Linked DNA regions of Saccharomyces cerevisiae S288C. Changing the gene in region 1 together with any one later gene gives a genetic interaction. Each region holds a gene or a part of one and is shown in the gene's direction. Other genes may lie near its edges. The genes, in order: NBP2, BUD14, BNI1 and SMI1.

What was found.
Region 2: mutations in NBP2 (region 1) and BUD14 together harm fitness more than expected from each alone (negative genetic interaction), as found in Saccharomyces cerevisiae (5 studies listed by BioGRID, with this or other methods).
Region 3: mutations in NBP2 (region 1) and BNI1 impair growth when combined (synthetic growth defect), as found in Saccharomyces cerevisiae (5 studies listed by BioGRID, with this or other methods).
Region 4: mutations in NBP2 (region 1) and SMI1 are lethal when combined (synthetic lethality), as found in Saccharomyces cerevisiae (6 studies listed by BioGRID, with this or other methods).

The regions. Positions count from the first base shown.
Region 1 is NC_001136.10:779,833-782,696, reverse strand, and holds NBP2 (adaptor protein NBP2), read left to right. Parts: upstream 1-1,596; coding exon 1,597-2,307; downstream 2,308-2,864. Other genes in the region: SEC1 (Sec1p), read left to right, coding at 1-656; U2-type spliceosomal complex subunit CWC15, read right to left, coding at 747-1,274; ACL4 (Acl4p), read right to left, coding at 2,491-2,864. UniProt on the Saccharomyces cerevisiae protein: Negatively regulates the high-osmolarity glycerol (HOG) pathway through its negative regulation of the HOG1 kinase activity. Mediates the binding between the PTC1 phosphatase and the PBS2 MAP/ERK kinase (MEK).
Region 2 is NC_001133.9:166,199-170,440, reverse strand, and holds BUD14 (protein phosphatase regulator BUD14), read left to right. Parts: upstream 1-1,569; coding exon 1,570-3,699; downstream 3,700-4,242. Other genes in the region: serine/threonine protein kinase KIN3, read left to right, coding at 1-45; ADE1 (phosphoribosylaminoimidazolesuccinocarboxamide synthase), read right to left, coding at 146-1,066. UniProt on the Saccharomyces cerevisiae protein: Important for bud site selection. Seems to be a regulatory subunit of the BUD14-GLC7 type-I phosphatase complex. The BUD14-GLC7 complex is necessary to regulate microtubule dynamics at the cortex and may function as a specific activator of the dynein complex.
Region 3 is NC_001146.8:129,327-137,251, reverse strand, and holds BNI1 (formin BNI1), read left to right. Parts: upstream 1-1,868; coding exon 1,869-7,730; downstream 7,731-7,925. Other genes in the region: arginine permease ALP1, read left to right, coding at 1-1,312. UniProt on the Saccharomyces cerevisiae protein: Required for the assembly of F-actin structures, such as actin cables and stress fibers. Nucleates actin filaments. Binds to the barbed end of the actin filament and acts as a leaky capper, slowing both polymerization and depolymerization.
Region 4 is NC_001139.9:948,847-952,783, reverse strand, and holds SMI1 (Smi1p), read left to right. Parts: upstream 1-1,884; coding exon 1,885-3,402; downstream 3,403-3,937. Other genes in the region: prohibitin subunit PHB2, read left to right, coding at 1-236; BNS1 (Bns1p), read right to left, coding at 477-890; OTO1 (Oto1p), read left to right, coding at 3,559-3,732; DIE2 (dolichyl-P-Glc:Glc(2)Man(9)GlcNAc(2)-PP-dolichol alpha-1,2- glucosyltransferase), read right to left, coding at 3,787-3,937. UniProt on the Saccharomyces cerevisiae protein: Protein involved in the regulation of cell wall assembly and 1,3-beta-glucan synthesis, possibly through the transcriptional regulation of cell wall glucan and chitin synthesis.

The DNA.
Region 1 (2,864 bases):
TCTATCACACTTCAAGGTTCGTTCCCGCTGTAGGGAATATTCTTTCAAAGGTTATAGCGAATCCATTGTTATTGAGCGAACAATACTTCCCATATTTAAAGGACAAGCCAATTGAGTTATTGAATGAAGAAGAATTCCAAGCAGGCTTAGCGAATACCTCTGCTAACTCCTCCTCATCCTTAAGGAATCCCCGTCACAAGGCAGCTTGGACCACGAAAAGCTCTAATATAAAAAAAAACATACCTAGACAAAGATTCTTCTACTATGTTATTGGTGGTATATCAATTCCCGAAATTAAAGCTGCTTATGATCAATCAAACTTGAAGAACAGAGATATCTTTATTGGCAGCGACGAGATATTAACACCAACAAAATTCTTAGATGAAGTGGAACGTTTACAAAATCCTAGAGAATTTTTCAAATTCAAGGAAGATCAGCGCCAGCAAGTAAACCCGCCTGATTTCCTTCTAAGGGAAATGAAACCGGTGGCACAACCAGTCTCTCATGTTCATTTAAAAAGCCAAGACAATAGTCCTAAGTCTGGTACTTCTAGTCCCAAAGCAGCAGGTTCTCTCAAGTCAGAACCACCCGAAAAAGAGAAGAAACGTAGCAAATTCTCGAGGTTCTTGAAAAGAAAATCTCACCATGATAAATGATCCCTTAAAGAAGACAGTGATAAAAAAAATCACTTGCTCTTGTCAAAAAAAAAAGATATAAACGTACTATTTATGTATCGTTCCTATGTACTATCTAACATGCTTATGGAGAAATTCTTGATGATATTCAGATTTTGTCATATCGTTAATGTATCCGGACGCTGATTTTTTTGTTGCATGTTCCTTAATATTTGTCTCTTTGGTTACTTTATGGCGTCCAAACGCCGTGCCCTTTCTCCACGATCGCCTAGACGAATTTCCTCCCTTTAATTGTTCATTTCCTTCAAGCTCTGCTTTATCTTCCACTTTATTTTTTTGAGTAACCAGCAGCTCTTGCAACGAGTCTTTTTGGTCTTTCTCACTGCGGGTTTCTTGGAGGTTCCCACTCCCCACAACATCCTGTTTCTCTTCGTTCATTACTGCCTCCTCTAAAGATTTATCGTTGCTCCTATCTTCTTGCGCACAGTTTGCTCTAAGATTTTCCTCCTCTTTAAATTTCCTGTATTTTAATGTTGTATGTCCTGGTAGTAATCTGGCATGCTCGATGCCTGTTGGTGTATAAGCGGCCGCTTTTGCACCGCTTCTTGCTTCTAACTGTGGTCTGTGTGATGTGGTCATGGTCTTGTAGCCCTTTCAAATGCCAGCCTCTGAGCAAGTTCTTTATGGAGCCTTTTGGAGCTTTGTCATTCCTATTTCCTTTTCGTGAAGAGATAGACTATTATTTTTAGTCACACCAACTTATTTTTCCAGTTGCGAGAAATGGAGAATTCACTTCAGAAGTAGCTTGTAATGGACAATGCAACACAGTGCACAGTAACAACACGCTCAATCACACATAATAACAGCTACCAATAAAACGTGATAGATACTAACAAATTTTAAGTATTTTTCTCAACTTTACCTTACTTTAACTTCCACTGACATATTTATTGAATCTACGATGGCAACGATGGAAACGACCACACAAAAAGATACCAATATTTTGAAATCTGGTCTCAAAAAAACTATAGGTGTTCTCAATGAGGCAGTATTACAGAACGGGAGAGAGGTGGAGGCAGTGCAGGCAGGAAATAGTGACACAATGGAAGATACAGAAACAACCACAATAGGTTATATATCAATCAAAGATTATGCGTACGCAGATTCGAATCCTCTCCATTATGGTTATTTTGATGGAGACAATGAGGAGGATGAAATGGTTTCAGATTCTTCAAATGGAGAAGACACATACAATAAAAGACAAAGTATAACACTACCAGACGACTACATAGTTAACCAACGTGCTGTTGCCCTCTACGATTTCGAACCCGAAAATGATAATGAATTGAGATTGGCTGAGGGTGACATCGTATTTATCAGTTACAAGCATGGGCAAGGTTGGCTAGTAGCAGAAAATGAGTCAGGATCAAAAACAGGGTTGGTACCGGAGGAGTTTGTCTCTTATATACAGCCGGAAGATGGTGAGAACGAGGTGGAGAATAAGGCTCGACCTTTCTATTTGACACATTTGATTACACAGAGCGTTAGTCCTAAAAACAATATTGATAACACTAACGAAGATGAATACGACGACAACGATGAATGGGAAGATATTGATGATGTTGCGGAGGTCGAAGCAGATATGAAAACAAAATTAGATATATCGGATTGAATACAAATTCCAATTGGTTATGACAGTAAAATACTCACTAAAAACAGATAAAGAGGTCACCACCCTGGCGGTATGCCTGGCCGAATCTTCTTCCATCTGTTCTATGTCATAATTTCCGTTTCTTACGGATATATACATATATATCAGTGTATGTACTTATGCATATGTTAAATTAGAAGACTATTAGTCAGAATATTCTTCCTCTATGTCCAACTCTTCCAAGTCTTCATTCTCATTCACTAAATCACCCTTCTTGATTTGTGTTAACTCACTTGGATCTAGAGGACCACCAATTTCTTGGAGTAAAGCATTAGCACCGCCCAATAATTCTTGCACAATTTCATCTTTGCTGTCAGCATTGACACCTGCTTGCAATGCAAAACTTAGCGCTAATCTTGAGTCATAGATTAACTGGGAGATTGGTTCGTGGGATAAATCCAAAGGAACTTCTTGAATGAGTTGGTTAAACTCGTATATATTTTCCGGACGCAGGCTTACTTCGGGATTGTTCAACTTGAAAATTTCTAATTTACTCATTAAATAATAAGTAAAACCCT
Region 2 (4,242 bases), on another chromosome or scaffold:
AAATTTGCCAAACCTGCATACCACTGGCAAACAAGATATCGATAAAATTTGCTCTGAGAACATTTATACATTAATACATACGGGTATGTATGAATCATATTCAGTGAGGAGTTACACTGGCGACTTGTAGTATATGTAAATCACGTTAGTGAGACCATTTAGACCCTGTCAATGTTTCATAAGCCTCTATATATTTGGCCCTTGTCCTGTCGACAATGTCTTGGGGCATTTTGACGCCGTTAACACCGTTCAACTTATTAGCAGTAAGCCAGTCTCTTAAAAATTGCTTATCGTAAGAATCTTGGGATTCTCCTACCTTATAAGAGGCACCGTTCCAGAATCTAGAGGAGTCTGGCGTTAGCACCTCGTCCACTAGAATAATTTCATTGGTCTTTTCGTCAATACCGAATTCGAATTTAGTGTCTGCGATGATGATGCCCTTCTCCTTAGCATAATCTTTGCACTTGGAGTACAGTTTTACAGCCAGTTCTGCCACTCTACGTGACAAATCTTCACCCACCAGCTCAGCGGCCTGGGCAGGAGAGATGTTTTCGTCATGTTCACCTTGTTCAGCCTTGGTCGATGGGGTGAAGATTGGTTCTGGGAACTCTTGAGATTCTTTAAGTCCTTGAGGTTGTTTCAAACCATGCACAGTACCTGTTTTTACGTACTCTTTCCAAGCAGATCCGGTGATGTAGCCTCTGACAATTACTTCCAATGGAATTAGTTTATGTTTGTGAACCAATAGAGAGCGGTCTTCTAGTTGCGTTTTGTACTTTGGTTCGCTCAATTTTGCAGGTAGATAATCGAAAATAGTCTTACCTGGGGCGATGTCGACCAAATGATTACGAACATCGTTGGACAGGAACTTGAACCAGAACTCTGACAGTTTGGTCAATAGGATCCCCTTTTCAGGAATGCTGTTTTCCATAATAACGTCATATGCAGAGATACGATCCGTAGCAACAAACAGCAACGTACCAGCGTCTACCTCATATATGTCTCTAACTTTACCTCTGGCCACCAATGGCAATATACCGTCCAGTTCAGTCTTCGTAATTGACATTATCGTTAATATTTCGTATGTGTATTCTTTGTAAGCAATGCTTATGATTCGATTGTTCTTAATAGTACCAACTGCAAAAGATAAAACCCAACCGTCTTACCTCAAAGAATCTGGGTAAGAATATATAGAATGTATATATATATATATGTATGTCTATATGTATTAGATGGCATCTTCGAGATTAGTATTATTACATCCTCATCTCTCGCAAGAGTCAGACTGACTCGTGAATAAGCTTCGGGTGACCCTTATGGCATTCTTTTTCAACCTTCAGGAAAAGTTTCAGATGAGTTGAAATTTCGAGTATGGCTACATGGATCAAGTGCTGTAAACAAAGAAGCTTCTACAGGGGTACGCTGGTTGTGTTTTCTGCTTTGCTATCGTGTAGAACTGGATCCATTCTTTCCTGGCTGTGGTAGTACTTAAGGAGTTGGACGTGTTCAAGTCGAGAAAGAGGTGAAATACACGTAGTTTTTAGATAACATTCTCTGCTTGGTAAGAGAATGAGTAATAAGGAAGAGCATGTTGATGAGACTTCCGCAAGTGGTGTCAAGGAGGTTAGTTCTATAGCTGCTAGACATGACAATGGTTACGCGCCTTCGCTAATCACGTCGACGTCGGGCATGGACTCCTTTCAATCGCACGCGCTACTGAATGATCCAACCCTAATAGAGGATTATTCAGATATCATTAATAATAGGCCTACAAGTGGAAGTAAACTTACTTTAGGAAACGAGGATTCGGAGAGTATGGGCGGAAGTGTTGTGGTGACTCCGACTTCGAATAAGAGTTCGCCCTTCAATTCGAAACTTAATATACTGAGTAATGCGGCAGAAAAGGGCCATGATGTTCTGCGAAATAGAGATGATGACAAAGAGTTAGAGGAGGAGAACGTGGAAAAACATATGCATAGCAACAGTAAAAGGGATCAGCGACATTACAAAGAAAATTCTTCGGAATTGCCCGACTCATATGATTATTCGGATTCTGAATTTGAGGACAATTTGGAAAGAAGGCTACAAGAGATCGAAACTGATTCCGTGGATAGCGCCGATAAGGATGAGGTGCATTTTTCAGTGAATAATACAATGAACCCTGACGTTGACGATTTTAGTGATGGCTTGAAATACGCCATCTCGGAGGACGAGGATGAAGAGGAAAACTACTCTGATGACGATGACTTTGACAGAAAATTTCAAGATTCAGGGTTTCAAGGGGAGAAAGACGATTTGGAGGAGGAAAACGACGATTACCAACCCTTATCGCCGCCAAGAGAACTGGACCCTGATAAACTATATGCTTTATATGCGTTCAATGGCCATGATTCTTCACATTGTCAATTAGGGCAAGACGAACCTTGTATACTTTTGAATGACCAGGATGCCTATTGGTGGCTGGTTAAGAGGATCACTGATGGTAAAATCGGGTTTGCGCCAGCGGAAATTCTAGAAACCTTTCCAGAAAGACTAGCTCGATTGAATTGCTGGAAAAATGAAAACATGTCTTCTCAATCGGTTGCTTCCTCCGATTCGAAAGATGATTCCATCAGCTCTGGTAACAAGAATCAAAGTGATGCAGAGAGTATAATTCCGACACCTGCACTGAATGGATATGGTAAGGGGAACAAATCTGTTAGTTTCAATGATGTTGTCGGTTATGCAGACAGGTTTATAGATGATGCAATTGAAGATACCTCGTTAGATAGTAACGATGATGGCGGTGAAGGCAATGGACAGTCGTACGACGATGATGTTGATAACGACAAGGAAACAAAAGTAACGCACCGGGACGAATACACTGAAGCGAAGTTAAATTTTGGCAAATTCCAGGATGATGATACGAGCGATGTAGTGAGCGACGTCTCCTTTAGTACATCTTTGAATACACCACTAAATGTGAAAAAAGTTCGGAGACAAGACAACAAAAACGAAAGTGAGCCTAAGACATCATCGAGTAAAGACAGAGAAGATGATTATAATGCAAATCGGTATGTGGGGCAAGAAAAGTCTGAACCGGTTGACAGTGATTACGATACCGATCTGAAAAAAGTATTTGAAGCGCCTCGTATGCCATTTGCGAATGGTATGGCAAAATCAGACTCTCAAAATTCCCTTTCAACAATTGGCGAGTTTTCACCGTCGTCGTCAGAATGGACAAACGAATCACCATCCACTCCAATAGTTGAAGAAAGCAGCAGTATTCCATCATCTAGAGCAATAAAGGACATTTCACAATATATTCATGCAAAATCGAAAATTGAAGAGACAACAAACGTGGAAAACACAGAGGGGCAAATTCAAGCCAGCTTGGGGTCTAGTGGAGGAATGGCAAATCAAACTGACGCAGAACAACCTAAAGAGGAGCTAGAAAAACATCACAGTACCCCCGAAGAAGAAAAGCAATCAACCTTATCGTTACACTCATCATCTGAAGAAGATTTTTATATGGATGAACAAAGGGCGGTATCATCAGCAAGCATAAATAGTTCACTTTCCGGATCAAGGGCATTGTCTAATACCAATATGTCCGATCCGGCTTCGAAGCCCAATTCTTTGGTTCAACATCTCTATGCTCCAGTTTTTGACAGAATGGATGTGTTGATGAAACAATTGGATGAAATTATTCGTAAATGATATTGTCCTTACAATAAAGCCTGGTCTTTTTCTCATCCAACGAACTTGCATCATATTCATGAATATTTATTTGTTTTAGAAACATTTCGGAAAAAATAAGGTAGTAACAGTTCAGCATATATGATAGCTAAAACAAACAACTATATATCGTATCTACAAAGTTTATCTTACTTCTTCTATTTTTTAACTTTGCTTCAGATTATGATAATGAAAAGGAGGAATAAAATTCTGTCATTATTCAGCATCCTCCAATGTGTCATAGGGATATAACTGGGGTTGAGGAGGTAGTAGTCGACAACTACTTAGTCGTGATACAACAGTATGGATAGGTACTTTCCACGAACATTACTGATGACAGTCAGCTATTCACGAATTCAATTGTGTTGGATTAACAAAAAAATTTGGACGCAACCGGAATCGAACCGATGACCTCTTCCTTGCAAGGGAAGCGCGCTACCAACTGCGCCATGTGCCCAACTCATTACAATACTAGACTTATGAAGGAATGGTAAGTGCTTAGAAGCTTTATGATGTAGTAGAGAT
Region 3 (7,925 bases), on another chromosome or scaffold:
CTTCGCCCAAAGATTTCTGTCGCCAGCGCTGGGAGCGACTAACGGATATATGTACTGGCTGTCGTGGTGTTTCACCTTCGCACTGGAACTATCCGTTTTGGGGAAAGTTATTCAGTACTGGACAGAAGCAGTGCCTCTAGCGGCTTGGATCGTGATCTTTTGGTGCCTGTTAACTTCAATGAACATGTTTCCCGTAAAGTATTACGGAGAATTTGAGTTTTGTATTGCCTCCATAAAGGTCATCGCGTTGCTCGGTTTTATCATTTTCTCATTCTGTGTTGTGTGTGGTGCGGGACAATCTGATGGACCCATCGGTTTCAGGTACTGGAGAAATCCAGGAGCCTGGGGGCCTGGCATTATCTCCAGTGATAAAAATGAGGGCCGTTTTCTCGGATGGGTTTCCTCTTTGATTAATGCTGCATTTACGTACCAAGGTACTGAACTGGTTGGGATAACCGCTGGTGAAGCGGCTAACCCAAGAAAAGCTCTCCCGAGGGCAATAAAGAAAGTTGTAGTGAGGATTCTAGTCTTTTACATTCTTTCACTATTTTTCATTGGCCTTTTGGTCCCATATAATGACCCAAAGTTGGATAGTGACGGTATATTTGTCTCTTCATCGCCCTTTATGATAAGCATTGAGAATTCAGGCACAAAAGTTCTCCCAGATATATTTAACGCGGTCGTGCTAATCACCATTCTTTCCGCAGGTAACTCTAATGTGTACATTGGCTCAAGAGTACTGTATAGTCTGTCTAAAAATAGCTTGGCGCCAAGGTTCTTGTCTAACGTGACCAGAGGTGGTGTTCCATACTTTTCTGTTCTATCTACATCCGTGTTCGGATTTTTGGCTTTCTTAGAGGTTTCTGCAGGCAGCGGCAAGGCCTTTAACTGGTTATTGAACATAACTGGTGTGGCCGGTTTCTTTGCCTGGCTTTTGATTTCATTTTCTCATATCCGTTTCATGCAAGCCATAAGGAAACGTGGTATATCGAGGGATGACTTACCTTATAAAGCTCAAATGATGCCTTTTTTGGCATATTATGCATCTTTTTTCATCGCTCTAATTGTTCTGATCCAGGGCTTCACCGCTTTCGCACCTACTTTTCAGCCTATAGACTTTGTCGCTGCATATATATCAATATTCCTATTTTTGGCCATATGGTTATCATTCCAAGTTTGGTTTAAGTGCCGCTTACTCTGGAAGCTGCAGGATATCGATATCGATTCTGACCGCCGGCAAATAGAGGAGTTGGTATGGATAGAGCCAGAATGTAAAACAAGGTGGCAACGAGTTTGGGATGTCCTTTCATAATTTTAGAATAATACTCCATACCACACACACACATATATATGTATGTATGTATGTATGTATGTATATGTATATTTGCCAAATCCTTGCTCAACTCTTTTCCTGTGATTATATGATTACTCCCTAGTTGTTTCGTTGTTAGCCGCCGAAAGTCATCGCCCGTAATTTCCATGGCTTACCCGACATCGGTTAGAGGAAGTTTTTGACGTGGAAGAGGGAAAGAAAGAAAAAACAGATGTGGAAAACTAGAATCCCTTTTAAGAACAATAGCACGGACCCTTCCTACAGATAAGAGGACACTGACGGCTGTGTGTTAATTATTTTCGTATTAAGCATAAAATTGGACAGTGGCATTCTTTTCTTCACCCTTCACGTTTTTTATACGTCTCATACAGTTGGGCCATTTTTTACTTTTTTTTTTGCCATTTGTATCTATCTTCTGTATTGAGGAGAAACATTTTAACTCAAGCCTAGTTAAATTCTAAATACACGCCACATAAAGAAGGCACCTGAACCTTTTCAACAAACGAGAAGCAAGAAAGGAAGAGAAGGAAAGGAAATGTTGAAGAATTCAGGCTCCAAACATTCGAACTCAAAGGAAAGTCATTCGAATTCGAGTTCTGGTATATTCCAAAATTTGAAGCGTTTGGCTAACTCAAATGCAACGAATAGCAATACGGGTTCTCCGACCTATGCATCCCAACAACAGCACTCTCCAGTGGGAAACGAAGTGTCCACTTCACCTGCATCTTCGTCATCTTTTAGAAAACTGAATGCACCTTCTAGGTCTACATCTACTGAGGCGAGGCCGTTGAATAAAAAATCGACATTAAACACACAAAACTTGTCTCAATATATGAATGGTAAATTAAGTGGAGATGTTCCCGTATCCTCACAGCACGCAAGGTCGCATTCAATGCAATCGAAATATTCGTATTCCAAGAGGAATTCTTCACAGGCGTCCAATAAGCTAACAAGGCAGCATACCGGGCAAAGTCACTCCGCATCAAGTCTTCTCTCTCAAGGTTCGCTAACTAACTTGAGCAAATTCACTACACCCGATGGTAAAATTTATTTAGAAATGCCGTCGGACCCATACGAGGTGGAAGTTTTGTTTGAAGATATTATGTATAAAAGAAATATTTTTCAGTCTTTATCAGAGGACAAACAAGAAGCTCTGATGGGCTACAGCATTGAGAAGAAATGGCTGATTGTTAAGCAGGATTTACAAAATGAGCTAAAAAAAATGCGAGCAAACACTACATCTTCTTCCACTGCCTCCAGAACTTCGATGGCGTCGGACCATCATCCTATCCTTACGGCTAATTCATCTCTTTCGTCTCCCAAATCTGTTTTGATGACAAGCGCCTCTTCTCCCACCTCAACTGTATACAGCAACAGTTTAAATCATTCTACTACTCTTTCATCGGTAGGTACGTCAACCTCGAAGGGGAAAAAATTAGTGAGCGGGAGTTTGAAAAAGCAGCCATCTCTAAACAATATTTATAGAGGTGGGGCTGAGAACAATACGAGTGCATCTACTCTTCCAGGAGACAGAACAAACAGACCACCGATACATTATGTGCAACGAATCCTGGCAGACAAACTTACTAGCGATGAGATGAAAGATTTATGGGTAACTTTAAGAACTGAACAGTTAGACTGGGTAGACGCTTTTATAGACCATCAGGGTCACATTGCTATGGCTAATGTACTAATGAACTCTATTTATAAGACTGCACCCCGAGAAAACTTGACTAAAGAATTATTAGAGAAAGAAAATTCATTTTTTAAATGCTTCAGAGTCTTATCAATGCTCTCACAAGGTTTGTATGAGTTCAGTACACATAGGTTAATGACTGATACTGTTGCAGAAGGTTTATTCTCTACGAAACTGGCCACAAGGAAAATGGCCACTGAAATTTTTGTTTGTATGCTAGAAAAAAAAAATAAAAGCAGATTCGAAGCAGTTCTTACCTCACTAGATAAAAAGTTTAGGATAGGGCAAAATCTTCATATGATTCAAAACTTCAAAAAAATGCCCCAGTATTTCTCTCATTTAACCTTGGAAAGTCATTTGAAAATTATTCAAGCCTGGTTATTTGCCGTTGAACAAACTTTAGATGGAAGAGGAAAAATGGGTTCCTTAGTAGGCGCGTCGGATGAATTTAAAAATGGTGGGGGTGAAAATGCGATTCTAGAATACTGCCAATGGACAATGGTTTTTATCAATCATTTATGCTCTTGCTCTGATAACATAAATCAAAGAATGCTATTAAGGACGAAACTAGAAAATTGTGGAATTTTACGAATTATGAACAAAATAAAACTGCTAGATTACGACAAGGTAATTGACCAAATTGAGTTATATGACAATAATAAACTTGACGATTTTAACGTTAAATTAGAGGCCAACAATAAGGCTTTTAATGTAGATTTACACGATCCACTATCATTATTAAAAAACCTTTGGGATATATGTAAAGGTACCGAGAATGAAAAGCTTTTAGTATCTTTAGTTCAACATCTTTTCCTTTCTAGTTCAAAGTTAATAGAAGAAAACCAAAATTCCTCTAAACTTACTAAGCAATTGAAACTTATGGATTCTTTGGTGACTAATGTTAGTGTTGCCTCAACTTCTGATGAAGAAACTAATATGAATATGGCTATCCAGCGGCTTTACGATGCCATGCAGACTGATGAAGTTGCACGTCGAGCTATATTAGAAAGTAGAGCTCTAACGAAGAAATTGGAAGAAATTCAGGCAGAAAGGGATTCTTTAAGTGAAAAGTTAAGCAAGGCGGAGCACGGACTCGTTGGACAGTTAGAAGATGAGTTGCATGAGAGAGATCGTATTTTAGCTAAGAATCAGAGAGTTATGCAGCAGCTGGAAGCTGAGTTAGAAGAGTTGAAAAAGAAGCATCTTTTGGAAAAGCATCAGCAAGAGGTAGAATTGAGAAAAATGTTGACTATATTGAATTCGAGGCCTGAAGAAAGCTTCAATAAGAATGAAGGCACCAGAGGTATGAACTCGAGCCTAAATTCTTCAGAGAAAGCGAATATCCAAAAGGTGTTACAGGACGGATTATCAAGAGCAAAAAAGGATTACAAGGATGATTCAAAAAAATTCGGCATGACACTTCAACCTAATAAGAGATTAAAAATGTTAAGAATGCAAATGGAAAATATTGAAAATGAAGCCAGGCAACTAGAGATGACAAATTTTGCTGAATTTGAGAAAGATCGTCTTGAACCTCCAATACATATTAAGAAGCCCAAAGTGAAGAAGATGAAAAATAAGGATAGGAAACCTTTAGTCAAGCCTCAAGAGGCGGACGTAAATAAACTAAATGACCTAAGGCGGGCTTTGGCTGAAATCCAAATGGAAAGTAATGATATTTCCAAATTTAACGTCGAAGAACGTGTTAATGAGCTATTTAATGAAAAGAAATCTCTGGCTTTAAAGAGACTGAAAGAACTAGAAACAAAATACAAAGGATTTGGTATTGACTTTAATGTCGACGAGATTATGGACAGTCCAAAGAAAAATACTGGGGACGTGGAAACGGAAGAAGACGCTAACTATGCCAGTCTTGACCCTAAGACATATCAGAAAAAGTTAGACGAGATTAATAGAATAACGGACCAGTTGTTAGATATTCAGACTCAAACCGAACACGAAATACAAGTAGAAGAAGATGGGGAAAGCGATCTTTCCTCTTCAAGTTCTGATGATGAAAGTGAGGAAATATACCAAGACGCATCTCCAACTCAAGAACTAAGGAGCGAACACTCAGAGCTATCTTCAGGATCAGGTCCTGGGTCTTTTCTCGATGCCTTATCTCAAAAATATGGTACTGGTCAAAATGTTACTGCATCGGCTGCTTTTGGAGAGAACAATAACGGTTCGGGTATTGGACCTCTACATAGTAAAGTTGAAAAGACCTTTATGAACAGACTCAGAAAATCCACCGTGTCTTCTGCTCCATATTTAGAGGAGTTAACACAGAAGGTAAATAAAGTTGAACCATATGAACAAAATGAAGATGAAGGTCTAGATAAAAAATCTTTACCGGAAAACAGCACGGCAAGTGCAGCTTCCGCCTTTGACAAAGCTGAGAAAGACATGAGACAACATGTGGAAAACGGAAAGCAAGGGCGTGTGGTAAATCATGAAGAAGATAAAACAGCGGATTTCAGCGCTGTGAGTAAACTGAATAATACAGATGGCGCAGAAGATCTCTCTACTCAATCATCTGTACTCTCCTCACAGCCGCCACCGCCTCCTCCTCCTCCTCCTCCAGTTCCCGCCAAATTGTTCGGTGAATCGTTGGAGAAAGAGAAAAAGTCGGAAGACGACACTGTCAAGCAAGAAACTACTGGGGATTCTCCTGCTCCTCCCCCTCCACCACCACCACCTCCTCCTCCACCCATGGCATTGTTCGGCAAACCCAAGGGAGAAACACCACCACCGCCGCCGCTACCATCTGTATTATCTTCATCTACTGATGGCGTCATTCCGCCAGCTCCACCTATGATGCCGGCATCGCAAATCAAATCAGCTGTAACATCACCATTACTTCCTCAATCGCCCTCATTATTTGAAAAGTATCCTCGTCCACACAAGAAATTAAAGCAACTGCATTGGGAAAAATTAGATTGTACTGATAATTCTATTTGGGGTACAGGTAAAGCTGAGAAGTTCGCAGATGACTTATACGAAAAGGGTGTTCTTGCTGATTTAGAAAAGGCCTTTGCCGCTAGGGAAATTAAATCATTAGCAAGCAAGCGCAAGGAAGATCTGCAGAAAATTACATTTTTATCCAGGGATATTTCTCAACAGTTTGGTATCAATTTGCATATGTATTCATCACTTTCGGTTGCCGATCTGGTGAAAAAGATTCTAAACTGCGATAGGGATTTTTTGCAAACACCGAGTGTTGTTGAGTTTTTGTCAAAATCTGAAATAATTGAAGTTTCTGTTAATTTAGCTAGGAATTACGCCCCGTATTCGACAGACTGGGAGGGCGTGAGGAATCTCGAAGATGCCAAGCCCCCTGAAAAAGATCCAAACGATTTACAGAGGGCTGACCAAATTTATTTGCAATTGATGGTTAATCTAGAATCATACTGGGGTTCACGTATGAGAGCTCTCACAGTGGTTACTTCGTATGAAAGAGAATATAATGAGTTATTGGCAAAGTTAAGAAAAGTCGACAAAGCTGTTAGCGCGCTTCAAGAATCAGATAACTTGCGCAATGTCTTTAATGTTATCTTAGCAGTTGGTAATTTCATGAACGACACTTCTAAGCAGGCACAAGGTTTCAAACTTTCAACCTTGCAGAGGTTGACGTTTATCAAGGATACTACCAATAGCATGACCTTTCTAAATTACGTCGAAAAAATTGTCAGGTTAAATTATCCAAGCTTCAATGACTTTCTAAGTGAATTAGAACCTGTATTGGATGTCGTGAAAGTTTCCATTGAGCAGTTAGTTAACGACTGTAAGGACTTTAGCCAATCGATTGTAAACGTAGAGCGTTCAGTTGAAATTGGTAATTTAAGCGATTCCTCAAAGTTTCATCCATTAGATAAAGTTTTGATAAAAACATTGCCCGTGTTACCGGAAGCCAGAAAAAAGGGGGACTTGTTAGAAGACGAAGTTAAGCTGACTATCATGGAATTTGAAAGTCTGATGCATACGTACGGTGAAGATTCTGGTGATAAGTTTGCAAAAATCTCATTCTTTAAGAAATTTGCAGATTTTATAAATGAATACAAAAAAGCTCAAGCGCAAAATCTAGCCGCGGAAGAAGAAGAAAGACTTTATATAAAGCATAAGAAAATAGTGGAAGAACAGCAAAAAAGGGCACAAGAAAAGGAAAAACAAAAAGAGAACAGCAATTCGCCTTCATCTGAAGGAAATGAAGAGGATGAAGCAGAAGATAGGCGCGCTGTTATGGATAAACTATTAGAACAGTTGAAAAATGCAGGTCCTGCTAAAAGTGACCCATCTTCCGCCAGAAAGAGAGCCCTAGTGAGGAAAAAATATCTTTCTGAAAAAGACAACGCTCCACAATTACTCAACGATTTGGATACTGAAGAAGGGTCTATTCTTTATTCTCCAGAAGCTATGGACCCTACTGCCGATACAGTGATTCACGCTGAATCACCCACTCCGCTTGCCACAAGGGGTGTTATGAATACCTCTGAAGATTTACCATCGCCATCCAAGACATCTGCGCTGGAAGATCAAGAGGAAATTAGTGACAGAGCTAGAATGTTATTAAAGGAGCTAAGAGGCTCTGACACACCAGTAAAGCAAAATTCCATACTCGATGAACATCTAGAAAAATTGAGGGCCCGCAAGGAAAGATCCATAGGTGAGGCTAGCACAGGTAACAGGCTAAGTTTCAAATAAAATATTAAACCAAAAAATTATGACAACAGTAATACCAAAACAAACATCCAAACAAGCACTAGTACAAAGAAATAGTCACGAATCATTAAATCACATATATATATATAATTTTAATGTTTATAGATCACTTATGATACACTTTACATTCATCTTTACTCAAATGATCTCTACTATTGCATTTTTGAAATAATTCCT
Region 4 (3,937 bases), on another chromosome or scaffold:
AAGCCAGACAAGAAAAACAAGGTATGGTAGTGAGGGCACAAGGTGAAGCCAAATCCGCCGAACTGATTGGTGAAGCCATCAAGAAATCAAGAGACTACGTGGAATTGAAAAGATTAGATACAGCCAGGGACATTGCAAAGATCTTGGCTAGCTCTCCAAATAGAGTCATCTTGGATAATGAAGCATTGTTGCTAAATACCGTAGTGGATGCAAGAATCGATGGAAGGGGCAAATAAATAGCGAAGGCTAGATATTATCTTTAAGAATTGAGTAACAATGTTAAGATGCCATATACTTGTGAATACAAAATAAAGGGAAAGAAAGCGATGCGTAAAACATAAATATTTGTATGTCTTCTAGAATAAGAATAAGGAGTATTACCCCGTATCATCTTGTATTGTTGGAGAACGTATATAGTATAATATGTAACACATACAGCAAAAAAATAGGCCAATTTATGATCATCATCCGTTAAATTAAATGTCTACATTCGGCTTGCGTGGTATATTCTGTTTGCCCCGCACAAACTCCAGTGTTTTGGGTTGCGATTTGGCTGAGAAAAGTTTTGACTTGTGATCATTCAGTTTTCTAGAGCATGGTGAAAGCAAATTGTCTGACGGCGACGCAAATTTTTGCCTAAGTTGCGTGTTCAAGTTTTTCCTTTGATCTTCCACTGCTTTTCTTTTCCGATACGTATTCTTGAATACTTGTCGATGAAGGCAATGCTTTGCAAATGTCTTCGTGTTATGCGCAACTTTAAGACTCATTTTCAAGTGTTGATTAAAAGAATCTAGATTTTCATCCCTCCTGGTGCAAGACACAGACGTATTTTGGATTTTTCTAATCAATTTTGTCACTATATCTTGGGATGCCGATCCGCCGTATGACATCGCAAATCTGTTACTTTTTTTTAGCGCAATGATGTAGTAGCCTCTGATTAACTTTTTTTAAAAAAAAATCACAGATAAGTAGAGGAAGAAGAATTTGCTGCTTATTGGGAACTTTCAATAGAAACCTTTTGTAGAGGATTTCGTTATTTGTTCAAGAGAATAAAAAGGTATACATTTGAAATCCTAGCATTAACTTCAGATACCTTCCACCTTACTAATCGCAGGCCTTTATGACAACGGAGGAGAGTTAGAACGAAGCAGAGAGGCTCCAATCTACATGGGAACATCGCAAAAGATGCGTACTCCGCACTGATCCATTTACCTGCAGGGCTTAACATGCATTGCACCACCGTTTGTACATCATAAGTTAATTACATTCCTTTTTAGGATAGTCTACTATTTATTTTTTCCCGTATCTGGAAAACCCCCTTAGATCCTTGTCACATAATCATAAAAATAAAGGCACCAAGCCCTAAAGCACGTGACATATGTCATTACCCTAGATTACATATAGGGCTTCCAAAGCCCTATTGGAGGTCGAAAAAAAGAAAAAAGAAAATAAAAAAGCGAAAAAAAGAAATGCATAATTCGCAGATTGTTTTTTTTTTCTTTTTCTAATGTCAGTTTTCCTACTTCGAGATCAAAAGAATGTTTTTGCACCGCAACTGAAAAGGTTGTGTTTTCTTTCCAGAGTAAATTACATTTTAATCAATTCTTTGCGCTGCTACGCAATCTTCAAACGCAAGTCCATTCTTAGAAATTTTAGCTTCTCTCAATATTGAAATATTTGCAAATACGCCATTCAAGAATCAAGCCTGTTGAAAATAAAGGTACAAAATTAAATCCGCTAATTATTTTTTTTCGTGTTCGACTAAAGTTATCGAAAAATTGAAAATATACAAGGACTAGCTATACTATCAATACGCAAAGAAAATACAAAATAAACGCACATTCGTTCTATAGGCGACAACTTGGCAGAATTTTTTAGTATAAAATGGATCTATTCAAAAGAAAAGTTAAAGAATGGGTATACTCCCTCAGCACTGACGACCATTATGCAGAGTATAACCCCGATGAAACGCCTACTTTTAACATGGGTAAACGTTTAAACAGCAACAATGGTCAGGTAAATCCCTCTCAAATGCATTTGAATAGTGTAGATGAGGAAATGAGCATGGGATTTCAAAATGGCGTGCCATCTAATGAAGACATAAATATTGATGAATTTACGTCCACGGAGTCAAACGATGGTGTCTCTGAAACCCTCTTAGCTTGGAGACACATCGATTTTTGGACCAGTGAACATAATCCAGATTTAAATGCAACTTTGAGTGATCCTTGCACCCAAAACGATATCACTCACGCAGAGGAAGACTTGGAAGTTAGCTTTCCCAACCCAGTAAAAGCGTCTTTCAAAATTCATGATGGCCAAGAAGATTTAGAATCGATGACCGGTACTTCTGGCTTGTTTTATGGCTTCCAACTAATGACACTAGATCAGGTTGTAGCTATGACTCAGGCCTGGAGAAACGTCGCAAAGAACCTAAACAAAAGATCTCAACAAGGTTTATCCCATGTTACATCTACTGGCTCTTCTTCATCTATGGAAAGACTAAATGGTAACAAGTTCAAACTGCCAAATATCCCAGATCAAAAATCTATTCCTCCAAATGCAGTGCAACCGGTATATGCACATCCTGCTTGGATTCCTTTAATAACGGACAATGCCGGTAACCATATCGGTGTTGACTTGGCGCCTGGTCCAAATGGTAAATATGCTCAAATTATAACATTTGGGAGGGACTTCGATACGAAATTTGTCATTGCTGAAAATTGGGGTGAATTTCTGTTATCGTTTGCCAACGATTTGGAAGCTGGTAATTGGTATTTAGTAGATGACAATGACGACTACTTTAGCGGTGATGGTGAATTGGTCTTCAGGGATAAGAAATCTAATGGTCCTATACAAGATTATTTCGAAGTTTTAAAAAGAAGAACGTGGATCAAGTATCAAGAAAACTTGAGATCACAACAGCAAAAATCTCAACCTGACACATCCTTGCAGGAGCAGAAATACGTGCCTGCCTCGCAAAAGAAAGTGGCAGCTGAACAGCCTTCTACCCTCAACGCAGAATCCATAAAGGGCGAAGATAGTGGTAGTGCAGATGTACAATCTGTTCAAGATCACGAATCTGTCAAAATTGTGAAAACAGAACCTAGCGAAGCGGAGACTACAACTGTAAATACAGAAAGCCTTGGACAAGCAGAGCATGAAATCAAAGCTGATAATGTAGACATTAAACAAGAAAGCGAGAGGAAAGAAGACGAAAAGCAACCAAAGGTTGAAGAAAAAGAACACGTTGAAAACGAACATGTCACAGAATCAGCAAAAAAAGACGATGATGTAAATAAGCAAACAGAAGAAATGAACAAAAAGGAAGAAAATGAAATAAGAAGTGATGATGCTAAAGTGGAAGAAGCGAGAGAAGAATTTGAAAATATAGCTTTATGAAATATCACAATTAACATTCTACAACCAAAAAGAAATTTGGACAATATTTATTTCTATTAAACTGTTCTAGGTAGGTTTCAACCTTAAGAAATTTATACAATATTATCATATATATATATATATATATATAGCACAATTCCCTTACGTTTACCAACCATGAACGTTCGTGGAAATCAATGCATTATGTCTATAAGAGTATTCCTAAAAGCAGGAGAAAGTTCGCTATCATTTGCCATTAAGTGGCTCAAACGGTTTGAGGCCACTACGAAGAAAAATCAATATATACAAAACGGTTGGCCACTAAAAGATGGAAATAAAAAAAGAAAATAAATACTACTAGTAAACATTTATAGAACGTCTTTTTGCAACTATAATCAATTCTGTTCACCATATTATTCTTTGCAAATAGGGCTCAGTGGTCCAAGGAAATGAGACCTTGGAAAAGATAACTAAAGTAACGACATTGAAGAGCATGAACCATAAAAATTCCATGAACAGTCTTTTCGTACTGCTTATGGTAATTGGGTTTTCGCCT